Linked DNA regions of Arabidopsis thaliana. The protein of the gene in region 3 interacts with the protein of the main gene of each other region in a pairwise test. Each region holds a gene or a part of one and is shown on either strand. Other genes may lie near its edges. The genes, in order: AT4G23860, RFI2 and ZFP8.

Region 1 (3,757 bases), on a different chromosome or scaffold from region 3:
AAAATATATATTCTTACTGTACCTCAGAGATCTTCTTCTCTTCCACAAAGACAATTGAAACCTCTGAATGGGAAATGATGAATTCCACAGCATCAGCACCTATAAAATTGACACGCAACAAAAATGACAAATAAGCTAGCTAAAAGATTTGTAGAAGCTCACTGGAAATCTATTGGCGAATTTATCCTTCTAGAGTATATTGGGAAATACTAAAAAAGGCATACCTAGTGTATCATATAACGGTACACAATAGAGTCCATGTGCATTACAAGCCTACATCAAAAGTGCACTGTCAGTCCTCTAACAAAACACAATCAATGACATAATCATGATTCAGCCGCAAAATTACCTCCATGCTGATAATCCACTCAGGAGAATTTGCACCATAGATACCACATTTTGCTTCCTAATATCCCACATATCAGGAAACACAAGATTAAGCAAGGGAATAATCACATTGCGACAAAAAAAGGAAATAATGAGACTGAATATAGATATCTGAAAGGAAAAAGATGGATCTTACGTCCTTAACTCCAACACTTCTGAGAGAATTTCCAAGTTTCATGACAATGTCGTAGACTTCTTGGTATGTTTGCCAGACATACTTACCCGGCTAAGAACAATCAAAATAACAAGTGAATTTTATAATAACATGAAACGAAAATCACAAAATCAAAATCAATAACAAACAGTAACAACACCTTTCCATCTACAATCTCGCGGCGTCCCAGCATTGGATTGTTTGGATACTTCTCAACAGACATGCTGCAATAAACAATAACAGTAGAAAAATGTAAGTCAACAACCACAAAATATCACCAAACCACACACAAAGCAAAACAAAAAATGTCAACCAAATTCATGCAACTGTTAATTAATCACATGCCACTCAAAACGATGTTATTATAGACAAATGGCAAAATCATTAACCAACAAATTATATTTCTATCGATTAGAGCAACTTAGGTAGATCTTGCGATCCGAAAAACTTAAACAAACATGAATCAAATCCAGATAAACACTAGACGAAATTAAACTATACGATTCTTACTACTTGAGAATCCATAAAGAGCAAAAAACGCAAGTCAGAACAAATTCCATGATCAGTCAACAGATCAAGGATCAAAATCTCAGCAAGAATCGGAAACGAGGCTCATGCAACACAAACTCCGATCGGTTAAACGAGAAATCTCACCGGAAAACATCCCAACAACTATCCATTCCTTCGATCGGGTCGGGAAATCCGTCCTTGGCAAAGATACTCCGGTACACTGGACCAACTGATGGTCTTCCATCGCTACCTTCTTTGCCTTCTTCAACTTGGAAGATGTATTTCTTCTGCTGCGACATGATCTCTCTCTCTCTCTCTCTACTTCGTTCTCGTTCTCTTCTCTCTCTATCTGTAGAACGAGAAACTTCTGACGCGTTTTCTCAGATCGGAGAAGAAGTTAATAGAGACTTTCAACTACGACTGCGATTGGTTGCTACTCACTGACCATAAACCTGAAAAAGTCAAAGTCATATTCAACCTCTTATTGGGCCGTATACGTATCATCATATTAGGCCCAATAAAGTCATATTATCCAAATTGAAATTTATATTAGCCAATATTTAGATTTTATAATTAAGATGTCAAGAAACAAAACAAAAAGTGTGTGATTTTGATTTAAATAACTTTAGATTTTATCAATATTTTATCCCCCAATTTAATTTTTTTTTTAGAGGTTATCAATTAATCTACGATAATTAAAAATATGCTTATTACTCTATTAGTATGTGTGTTTGTGGATAGATTTGACTAGTTGCACACAGATATGATATTTGTTAAACATTAGTTATCAAAACAAAAAAATAAATATAAATTTTCAATTCATAAAAAACCATATAAGCAAGAATTTGAGATTTTGATATCCGTTTAATCTCGATACAAATTAATATTAACATGTACATTATCAAGTAACAATACTTATCTTGTGCTTATGCTTAGTTGCTGATAGTGGAGGGAAAAGGGTAATAGAATTGGAGGGTTAATGGCGGGAAAATGTCGATAAAGTCCCTTCCTTTATATAACATACATAAATTTTCTCGCATTTAAGAATTTTAACATCCGCTAGATCCTTCTTTCTTCCAAACCCTTAAGCTCCACCTTCGTTTTCCCCAATTTCTCTCTCTCTCTGCCTTCGTTTATCTATGTCTTGAAAAGTGAAAAGCTTTAGGGCTTTTACAAGTCTGAGAACTCCATCAATAACCTGGTAATGGTCCGATTGACATGTTTGATGTTTTGCGAATAATCTAGGGTTTCATTTTTTTTAAGGAATTTAGGGAATATCTCGTTTGAGTCTTTCGAATAGCTTTTATTTTACCCAATTTCATGTTTTTAGTAGTGAATTCAGGTGGGAATTTGTGAAGAATAATTGCGACAATGGCATCTGGTGTTTTCGAGGATGAAGCTGAAGGAACTATAACGATCAATGAATATATCGAAAGGCTTGACGCAGAAGAGCTGGTAATGTTCTCTTTCTCCTCTTGATCAGTTTTAAAGCTTATGTATGTTTCTGATCCTTACGAAAGTTTAATACTCTTCCACATTTTCACTCCTTGGTTGGTGATAAATCGTTTAGATTTAAGTGTAAACAAACGTCTTGAAATTGGATTCTGACCTTAAATTGACTACCTTTTCTGAAGCTAGTGGAGTGTGTTGGATTGTTATTGTACAGTCTCTGAGGTTTTGGCTAGCTAGTAATGATAGTGTGTGTCTCTTAATTAGTTTCTATTAATTTCAGTAGTGTGTATCTGTTTCTGTAATCCTATGTTATTTGGGTTTAGGGGTTTAATATTCATTAACTGCTTTTGTGATTCTTGATGTTAAGGCAGCGGATTTGGTGTTGGGTGGAGATGAAGGAGATGAGTGTACTTTCCCAAAGGGTTACATGAAAAGGCAAGCAATTTTCTCATGCATTACATGTACACCAGAGGGGAATGCTGGAATTTGCACTGCTTGTTGCTTATCTTGTCATGATGGCCATGAGGTAAATATGGTTGATATATAGCCAGGTTATGTATTTTGAAATCTGATTTCATAGTGTTAATTGGTTTCCTAATGGTTGAACATTGTTCTGGTTATGAAGCTTTTGGAGCTGTGGACTAAGAGAAATTTTCGATGTGATTGCGGGAACTCAAAGTTTGGAACTTTGGCTTGTAAGCTTCTCCCGAGCAAAGATATAGAAAACTCTGAAAATTCTTACAACCATAATTTCAAAGGCTTGTACTGCACTTGCGACCGACCTTACCCTGACCCAAATGTGGAAGAACAAGTAGAGATGATTCAGTGTTGTCTCTGTGAGGATTGGTTTCATGAGGAGCATCTCGGTCTCACACCTTCAGACAGTGTTGGTAGCCAGGTTTGTGGCCAGTGCTTAATCTTGTTGTTTACGATTGATTTTTTTTGTTGTTGGCGCTTAGTGCAATTTGTTATGTGATGTTAACAGATTCCAAGGGATGAGGAAAGTGAGCCGATCTATGAAGATTTCATTTGTCAAAACTGCTCCCCAGCATGTTCGTTTCTGACACTTTATCCTGAGAACTTGTGGGTTGTTGCTAAAGTAGATTCCACTGGTTCTGCTAATGCTTGTTCAGAGACAATTGAGTTAGACAAAAACCACATGGATTCTGAACCCGGCCAGCCAGAGAACGGTACTGATGCTGAGAAATCTGTTGTAGGAAAATGTTCTGAGACGATCAGTGACTCAGAACCTGG
Region 2 (3,757 bases), 2.0 Mb from region 3:
TGTACTTTGTTTTATGGGTAATATTCAAATTAGAATAAATTTTGTGTAAAATCTGTGGGTTCTTCTTATTTAAAATCTGTGGGTAACTTTAAATATTGGGAAATTTACTAATGGAAAGGCATAAAGAAATGAGGACCAGCCACGTCATCAAATCAAAGTATCACATTCCTCTTTTCTTTTTATTTAAAGAAATTAAATAATAGAAGAAGAAGATACCAAAACTCTCTTTTTCTGTGCAAACACTTTGGAGGATTCTTCTAGGCTTCTTTCTACCACAAACACAAGAGCGCGTTTTCTTCACGCCGGCGAACAACGTCAGAGTCATGGCCACCGGAGATGGGAAATCGGTGATGGTCGTCGGAGTTGACGACAGCGAGCAGAGCACTTACGCCTTGGAGTGGACGCTCGATCGTTTCTTCGCTCCTTACGCTCCCAATTATCCTTTTAAGCTCTTCATCGTCCACGCCAAACCTAACGCCGTCTCCGCCGTTGGTCTCGCTGGTCCCGGTACGCTCTTTGCTTTCACTCTCGAATCTACTCTTCTAGGGGTTCTGTTTTGGGCAGCGATGGGGAGAGATCATTTAGGTTTTGTTAATCTGTGTGTTTTAGGAACTGCGGAGGTTGTACCTTATGTTGATGCTGATCTGAAGCATACCGCTGCTAAGGTTGTCGAGAAAGCCAAAGCAATTTGTCAGAGCAGATCGGTACGATCTTGCTATTATCAAACATTCAAATTCGTTTTATGTGTTTCTTGGATTTTATAATCGTCATCATGTGTTGTATTGGACTCTATTAGATGAGTTTGGTAATGTGAATGTGAATCTCTAGCACATTTAAGAGCTTCAAGCTAAGTAGCACTGGTTTTTCTTATAGTAACTATCTATCTTTGGTTAGCAACTATCTTCTTCTTTTCAATCATCATTCCTAGGTTTGTTGTGTAGGTTCATGGCGCGGTGATCGAAGTTTTCGAAGGTGATGCAAGGAATATCCTATGTGAAGTTGTAGATAAGCATCATGCTTCTATTCTTGTTGTGGGAAGCCATGGATATGGAGCTATCAAGAGGTATTATTTCATTCAGCCTTAATTCTTATGATCAATCTTTCAACTATACACCCATTCTGATTCACTTGTCGGTTTGTGTGGCAGGGCGGTTCTCGGGAGTACGAGTGACTACTGCGCTCATCATGCTCATTGCTCGGTGATGATCGTGAAGAAGCCTAAGATCAAGGTCTGAAACCTAAGGGAAGGCTACTCGGTCAAAGCAAAGTCTCTGCATAGTCTTCTAATTCAGAAGAATAAAGTGAAATAATATTAGCTTGATGTGAAACAACGATTCAAGACAATATACATTTGCATCTATATGTGTAATTGTTTACTACATACAATGTTTTGGTATCCTTAGACAATCAATATTCGTGTGTTATAATATGCTAATCTTTCTCATAACAAAATGGATGTGAAAGTTATAATAAACTTCATATGAAAGAGACTAGAGAAGAAAACAAATCAACTAAATAGAGATTAATGATTTAAATGAACAAATTTATAGTTTGGTTGTTGGTTCAGATGGATGGATGGTTTGATGATCATCTATCCAAAACTAAAGTAATAAAATAATAATAAAAAATTATCCACAATGGGAGAGGAAAGAAAAGAAAAGGGAGAGTCCAATGTCATTGTCCGGTTTTGAACCACGTCATCTCTAACAGGTCGGACGAGAGAGAGAGAGAGAGAGAGAGGAAGAGGAAGGATAGATTTACCGCATCGGCGTTCCAAAAGGCAGACGAACTCGGAGAGACAGATAGCGATAGCGAGACATGGTTTCTCATTGATTTTTGTTTGACAATCCTTTCTTTTCTTTTTTTTTGTTCTTTCGAAAAACGAAAATTTTCGTTGGTTCCCTCCGATTTGGCCTGCTGGTGAAGATATGGCCGGAGCTAAAGATTCGGGTTGCGATGATGATCTCCGAATTGCTGGTGGATGTGACCCTGGAAAACGCGGGAACCCGGAGGATTCCTCGTCTCCTGTCGAAGTCTCGTGCTCGATTTGCCTCGAATCGGTGCTCGATGATGGTACCAGATCCAAGGCTAAGCTCCAATGTGGTCACCAGTTCCATTTGGGTATTTCATTCCCTTCCTCCATCTCTTACCATTTTGCGTTCCCTCCATCACAGTTTGATGATCCGATGGCTTTTTGCTTGTACAAGCTTTTGTGCAATTATCTGATGGTAGATTTGGACGATAATTGAATGAATTTGAGAATATAGATGGATTCCTAATCCCTTGCTTTGTTTACAAGCTTAGATTGCCACGACTCTGCAGTTGGTTGATCCTAGAAATGATCGAGTTCTGACAAATGTGTGTCGTAACTTGTGAATCGGTTTCTTCTCTTGTGTAGATATAGAATGAGGCTTGCTAGTTCTATTATCTGGCTGCTGAATTTGTTGCTATTTTCGGCTTTCCCTTTAGCAGCTTGTTTTTTGGTTTCTTGCAGATTGCATTGGATCAGCATTTAACATGAAAGGAGCCATGCAATGCCCTAACTGTCGCAATGTCGAAAAGGGTCAGTGGTTGTATGCAAACGGTTCTACTCGCCCCTTTCCAGAGTTTTCCATGGAAGATTGGATCCCTGAAGAAGACTTGTACGGTTTAAGCTATCCGGAAATGGTAAAAGCTCACTACTTTGTGCAACGATATGCTTTCTTTTCGTGTACATGAGAACTGTGCTTTTATCATATAACCTCCTTATGAGAGATCGCTTATCCTGACATTTTTACGGGGTTTGCAGCAATATCGGGTCCATTGGTGCCCGTTTGGTGAACTCTCTCAAGCAGCAGCTTCTTTCGAGTAAGCCTACAACACCTTTACCATGGTTTTTGCTATTATCTCTCTTTTCTAAGGCTTTTGATCCTTCAAACGCGAAAGCTAGAATTGACTTTTGCTCTGTGTTTCAGGGAACTGGAACCTGCAACCACTACATGTAAGTTAGACGCTGATTGTTCTGTATATAATCATTTCATTTTGTCTAGCAATCCGTTTATAATGTCAAAACCCATATTTCTTCCTTAGATCATACTGAGTTCCATGGACATCACGCCGCTGCTGTGAATCATTCGTATCTTGCATATGTTGGACCTGGCCCAGCCGCTACCCCGAGAACTAGCGACAATAACAGCACAGATGATCATCCCTGGAACAGCCACTCTAACGATCACTTTCACCAGCTTCCTGTTGCCCCCCAGTATCATCACCATTCCCCATCGTTTTCACTACCCGCTGCTCATGTGGTTGATGGTGAAGTTGACTCTTCAGCAGCACGAGGCCTACCTTATGCGCATCCATTTCTTTTTAGTCACCGGTTAGCTTCTCAAACTCCCTATTGCTCTCAACTTCTTGCAGAGTGTTTTACAATATTCTTTTGGAATTGGGCATTGTAGGTCTAATCAAAGGTCCTCACCAGCAATTAACAGTTACCAAGGAAGCAGCACCCAAATGCGTGAACAGCATCATGCTTATAATCATCAGAGGCAACAACATCATGCCAATGGTCCCACTCTCGCATCACCTCTCATCTCCATGACAAGAAGGGGATTACCGCCGCCGCCACCTCCCCCACCAATGCCAGATCAGAACGTTGGATTCTTCATTTATCCAGGTGGACACCATGAACCAGAAACCGATCAAATTCATGCATGGGAGAGAGATTGGTTCCCACATTTCCCTGTCCCATCGAATCATCGCACGATCCCTAGCTTGT
Region 3 (3,757 bases):
TCTCATCAATTTCCCTTAAATATTTTTCTAAAATATTAGAGGAATACAAAAAAACATTCTCATTAACTATATAATTTTAATAACAGTTAAAACTTTCATATTTGCATGCCAAGGCTCTCTGATGAGTTTAAATGTTAAATCGCATGTGTAGGTTTAAACAGAGTTTATTGTTTGTGGAAAAATAAAAGAGACGTGGACTCGTCATGTGAAGTCCAAAATCTGCAAAATTATGTATGTAAATTAATGTACTTTGGGACCAGCATTCGTATGGACATTATTACCATAGTTGAATTTACTTCCCTTTCTTACAATAAGCTTTTGATTACTCATATATACCTCACACATGTTATGTGAATCGGTAAATTCATACTATATGTGAGGAAGTCACTTACAACAGTTGGATTTTAAAGGGAATCCGTCTGAAAAAAATTTGGAGAAAAAAAGAAATTGTTTTGCTTACATAATTTAATTTAAAAATTATAAATAACAATACTTTTATAAGAGAATAGTTTATCTGTTGACCAAAAAAAAAGGAATAGTTTATCTATCCACAAATGGATGATCCATATTGGAGTATATAGAACGATAAGAGATGATTCGATACGTACTAAATGAAAACTTTGAATACTGTGTATAGTAAGCAATCAGCATTAGTTTACAAGATCTTAGTTTTCGTAGGATTAGTTTAGACTGTTTAGTAATTTGATTCCAACCATTGTACAGGAGAAAATTTTTACCGCTCAAAACAACTAACTGAACGTCATACTTAATTGGGAATTTGGGAGTCGTCAAAGAAATGAAAAAGGTCAGATTAATTTATGGATTAATGAGTTTTATAGTCCTTATTCCAGCTTGACATTAGCAACATATACATTATTTGTGTGACATAATCAGGGAATATATATAATCAAAATTAATGGGATTTAAAATTTAATTATTCTTACAAAATATCAAAAAATTTAGTGTAGACGAACAAAAAGAGAATACATATATATATATAGTTCATTTGAAGAAGACGTGTATATGATCGATCCGAGTTGATAAGTATTAACAGATTACATACATATTGATAAGATGATGTGATCTCATCGATTAAGGTTCAATCTTTTAAATTGGTTAACTATCTGGTGATGACATGTCAACTAGTCGATTATGAGCATCATTAATGATCATGAACATGGACCACCTCTCTCTCTCTGTAAGATTATCTTTGCATCAAAGAGACAAAACATCCAAGAGACTAAAAGTATGGTCCTTGAGAGAGAAGAAGTCTCTTTAATTAGGTCTTTCTATTTCTCTCTCTCTCTATTAGTAGTAAAATCCATGTACTTATACGTAGACATAATAACCAAATAGGTCCGTGATGTTAAAGAGTACACACCTAACTTCACCTTGCTAATGATCTCTTACCTACAAACTCTCACTGTTTTTAGTTCATCTCATTACTCACTGTGACCCCATTTCATCTGCTTACGACCAATTTGGTAAGCTTTTTGTCTTAGTTTCAACATTTGCAGGAATCACTTTAAGAAACAACTAACTAAAAAGGAGATAACTTTGAAAAAGGAGGATTGATGGGTTTGTTTTTGATGAGATGGATATTTGTATATGTATGTCTAATGAGAGATATATTGCGTAGGGGAAGTGAATGTAGATTAGAGGTCTCCCTATATATTGATTGATTTTATCCGGCTATTTTTACCTACCGCGACACACGGTATAGATTCATAGTAAGCTACAATTTAAACACAAGATAAATCTGTAATCATATAGTATAGTACTATGCTTCCATATATACCCCATATTTACGTCTCCTATGCTTCCATACGCTAATTAGTTTTTTTTTTTTTCCAACCATAATTGCAGGTTTATATAAACATGAACTAACGAAAAAAATAAAATATAAACATGCACCATGGAGTCAATTTTAAAATTCTATGAGGTTTGATTTTCAAAAGGAAAAATCTAATATACTAATGAAAAAATTGAGATCATAAAAAAACTAATGAAGAAGTAGATTTATTTATTTTGAAAAATATGTACAAGTGAAATGTGGATCATTCTTTAGCTATATATATATAGGTGGATAAACGTAAAATCACGCACGCGGCCATGCTGCAGGGGTTAAATAGCAATTATGTATTTACCTTAAAAAGAATTTGGGAACCTCTCTTTAAATTAATGCAAAACCTCATCTCTTGTCTTTCTGTCTCTGAAACAGTCAACCTCATTCTTCTCAAACTCACTCTCCCTGATCTCTCTCTTCCATGGACGAAACCAACGGACGAAGAGAAACTCACGATTTCATGAACGTCAACGTTGAATCCTTCTCTCAGCTTCCTTTCATCCGCCGTACTCCTCCCAAAGAAAAAGCCGCCATTATTCGTCTCTTCGGCCAAGAGCTCGTCGGTGATAACTCCGACAACTTATCCGCAGAACCTTCTGATCATCAAACCACTACCAAGAACGATGAGAGCTCTGAGAATATCAAGGACAAAGACAAAGAAAAAGATAAGGACAAAGACAAAGATAACAACAACAACAGGAGATTCGAGTGTCACTACTGCTTCAGAAACTTCCCAACTTCTCAAGCCCTAGGTGGACATCAAAACGCTCACAAACGTGAACGTCAACACGCCAAACGCGGTTCCATGACATCATACCTTCATCATCATCAGCCTCATGACCCTCACCACATCTACGGCTTCCTCAACAACCACCACCACCGTCACTATCCGTCTTGGACGACGGAAGCTAGATCATACTACGGCGGAGGGGGACATCAAACGCCGTCGTACTACTCAAGGAATACTCTTGCTCCTCCTTCTTCTAACCCACCGACAATCAACGGAAGTCCTTTAGGTTTGTGGCGTGTACCGCCTTCCACGTCAACAAATACTATTCAAGGCGTTTACTCATCTTCACCAGCTTCAGCGTTTAGGTCGCATGAGCAAGAGACTAATAAGGAGCCTAATAACTGGCCGTACAGATTGATGAAACCCAATGTGCAAGATCATGTGAGTCTCGATCTTCATCTCTGACTTCTTTTATTTTATTTTTTTATCATCCATCATTGCTGTGATATATGAGACTCGCTGATCGGTGAAGCCAATTCTTTTGAGAGTGTTGGAGACTGAAAAAAAGAAAAAGAAAACGAGAACCGGTTTGGTGTGTAGATCATCTTGAACCTTTTTGAGGTTTTCACATTCTGAGTTTATATTAATAAAGGGAATAATATTTTGGTTAATTAGTAAAATTCGTTCATCCGTTTAATTTCCTCTCACGTGTGTGTGAATGTGAATGATATAATTATCGTTTTTTTTGTTTGATTTCATCTGTTCATTTGTGAGTTCTGTTATGGCTTCCTTCAAGACTCTCTATAACTTTCAGAGAAAGAGGAACATTAATTTAAGGGCCATGGAAGTCACACGTACTTTCTCTCTGTTGTTGCAGTCGAGATATTTAAAGTCTTAACCATTAAAAACCCCAGAAGACTCTTTAGATACAAAATGCTTAGGGTCTCTGTCTAATTAAAACGGTCTTTTACCGAATCAAGAGGCAACGAAGGATGGGTAAATGCAGATGTTGATGATGATTCGGTGACTGTGGGGATCACTGAAGACAATGGACAAGACAAAAGGGGAGAGAGAGAGAGAGAGTTGAGAAGTGAAAGTGGTCCATGATTACAAGTGTAGAGTTAGCCAAAGATAGAGCTTTCACATCTTTCTCAACACACAGAACCTAAAGCTAAAGCCTT

The links.
Region 1: the proteins of ZFP8 (region 3) and AT4G23860 interact in a two-hybrid assay, tested with the Arabidopsis thaliana proteins (one large-scale study listed by BioGRID).
Region 2: the proteins of ZFP8 (region 3) and RFI2 interact in a two-hybrid assay, tested with the Arabidopsis thaliana proteins (one large-scale study listed by BioGRID).

The regions. Positions count from the first base shown.
Region 1 is NC_003075.7:12,406,914-12,410,670, forward strand, and holds the start of AT4G23860 (PHD finger protein-like protein), read left to right. Parts: upstream 1-2,093; 5' UTR 2,094-2,252; intron 2,253-2,381; exon of another isoform or gene 2,382-2,384; 5' UTR 2,385-2,422; coding exon 2,423-2,506; intron 2,507-2,620; exon of another isoform or gene 2,621-2,870; coding exon 2,871-3,029; intron 3,030-3,128; coding exon 3,129-3,401; intron 3,402-3,488; coding exon 3,489-3,757. Other genes in the region: LACS4 (AMP-dependent synthetase and ligase family protein), read right to left, coding at 23-99, 225-273, 350-406, 524-613, 702-765, 1,196-1,350.
Region 2 is NC_003071.7:19,552,523-19,556,279, reverse strand, and holds the start of RFI2 (RING/U-box superfamily protein), read left to right. Parts: upstream 1-1,632; 5' UTR 1,633-1,928; coding exon 1,929-2,121; intron 2,122-2,494; coding exon 2,495-2,667; intron 2,668-2,788; coding exon 2,789-2,847; intron 2,848-2,954; coding exon 2,955-2,980; intron 2,981-3,069; coding exon 3,070-3,358; coding exon of another isoform or gene 3,359-3,437; coding exon 3,438-3,757. Other genes in the region: AT2G47710 (Adenine nucleotide alpha hydrolases-like superfamily protein), read left to right, coding at 324-507, 610-704, 942-1,063, 1,148-1,235. UniProt on the Arabidopsis thaliana protein: Mediates phytochrome (phyA and phyB)-controlled seedling deetiolation responses such as hypocotyl elongation in response to red and far-red light. Required for light-induced expression of LHCB3 and CHALCONE SYNTHASE (CHS).
Region 3 is NC_003071.7:17,505,289-17,509,045, forward strand, and holds ZFP8 (zinc finger protein 8), read left to right. Parts: upstream 1-2,054; 5' UTR 2,055-2,267; coding exon 2,268-3,041; 3' UTR 3,042-3,328; downstream 3,329-3,757. UniProt on the Arabidopsis thaliana protein: Probable transcription factor required for the initiation of inflorescence trichomes in response to gibberellin and cytokinin. Is not involved in the regulation of trichome branching. Is functionally equivalent to GIS2.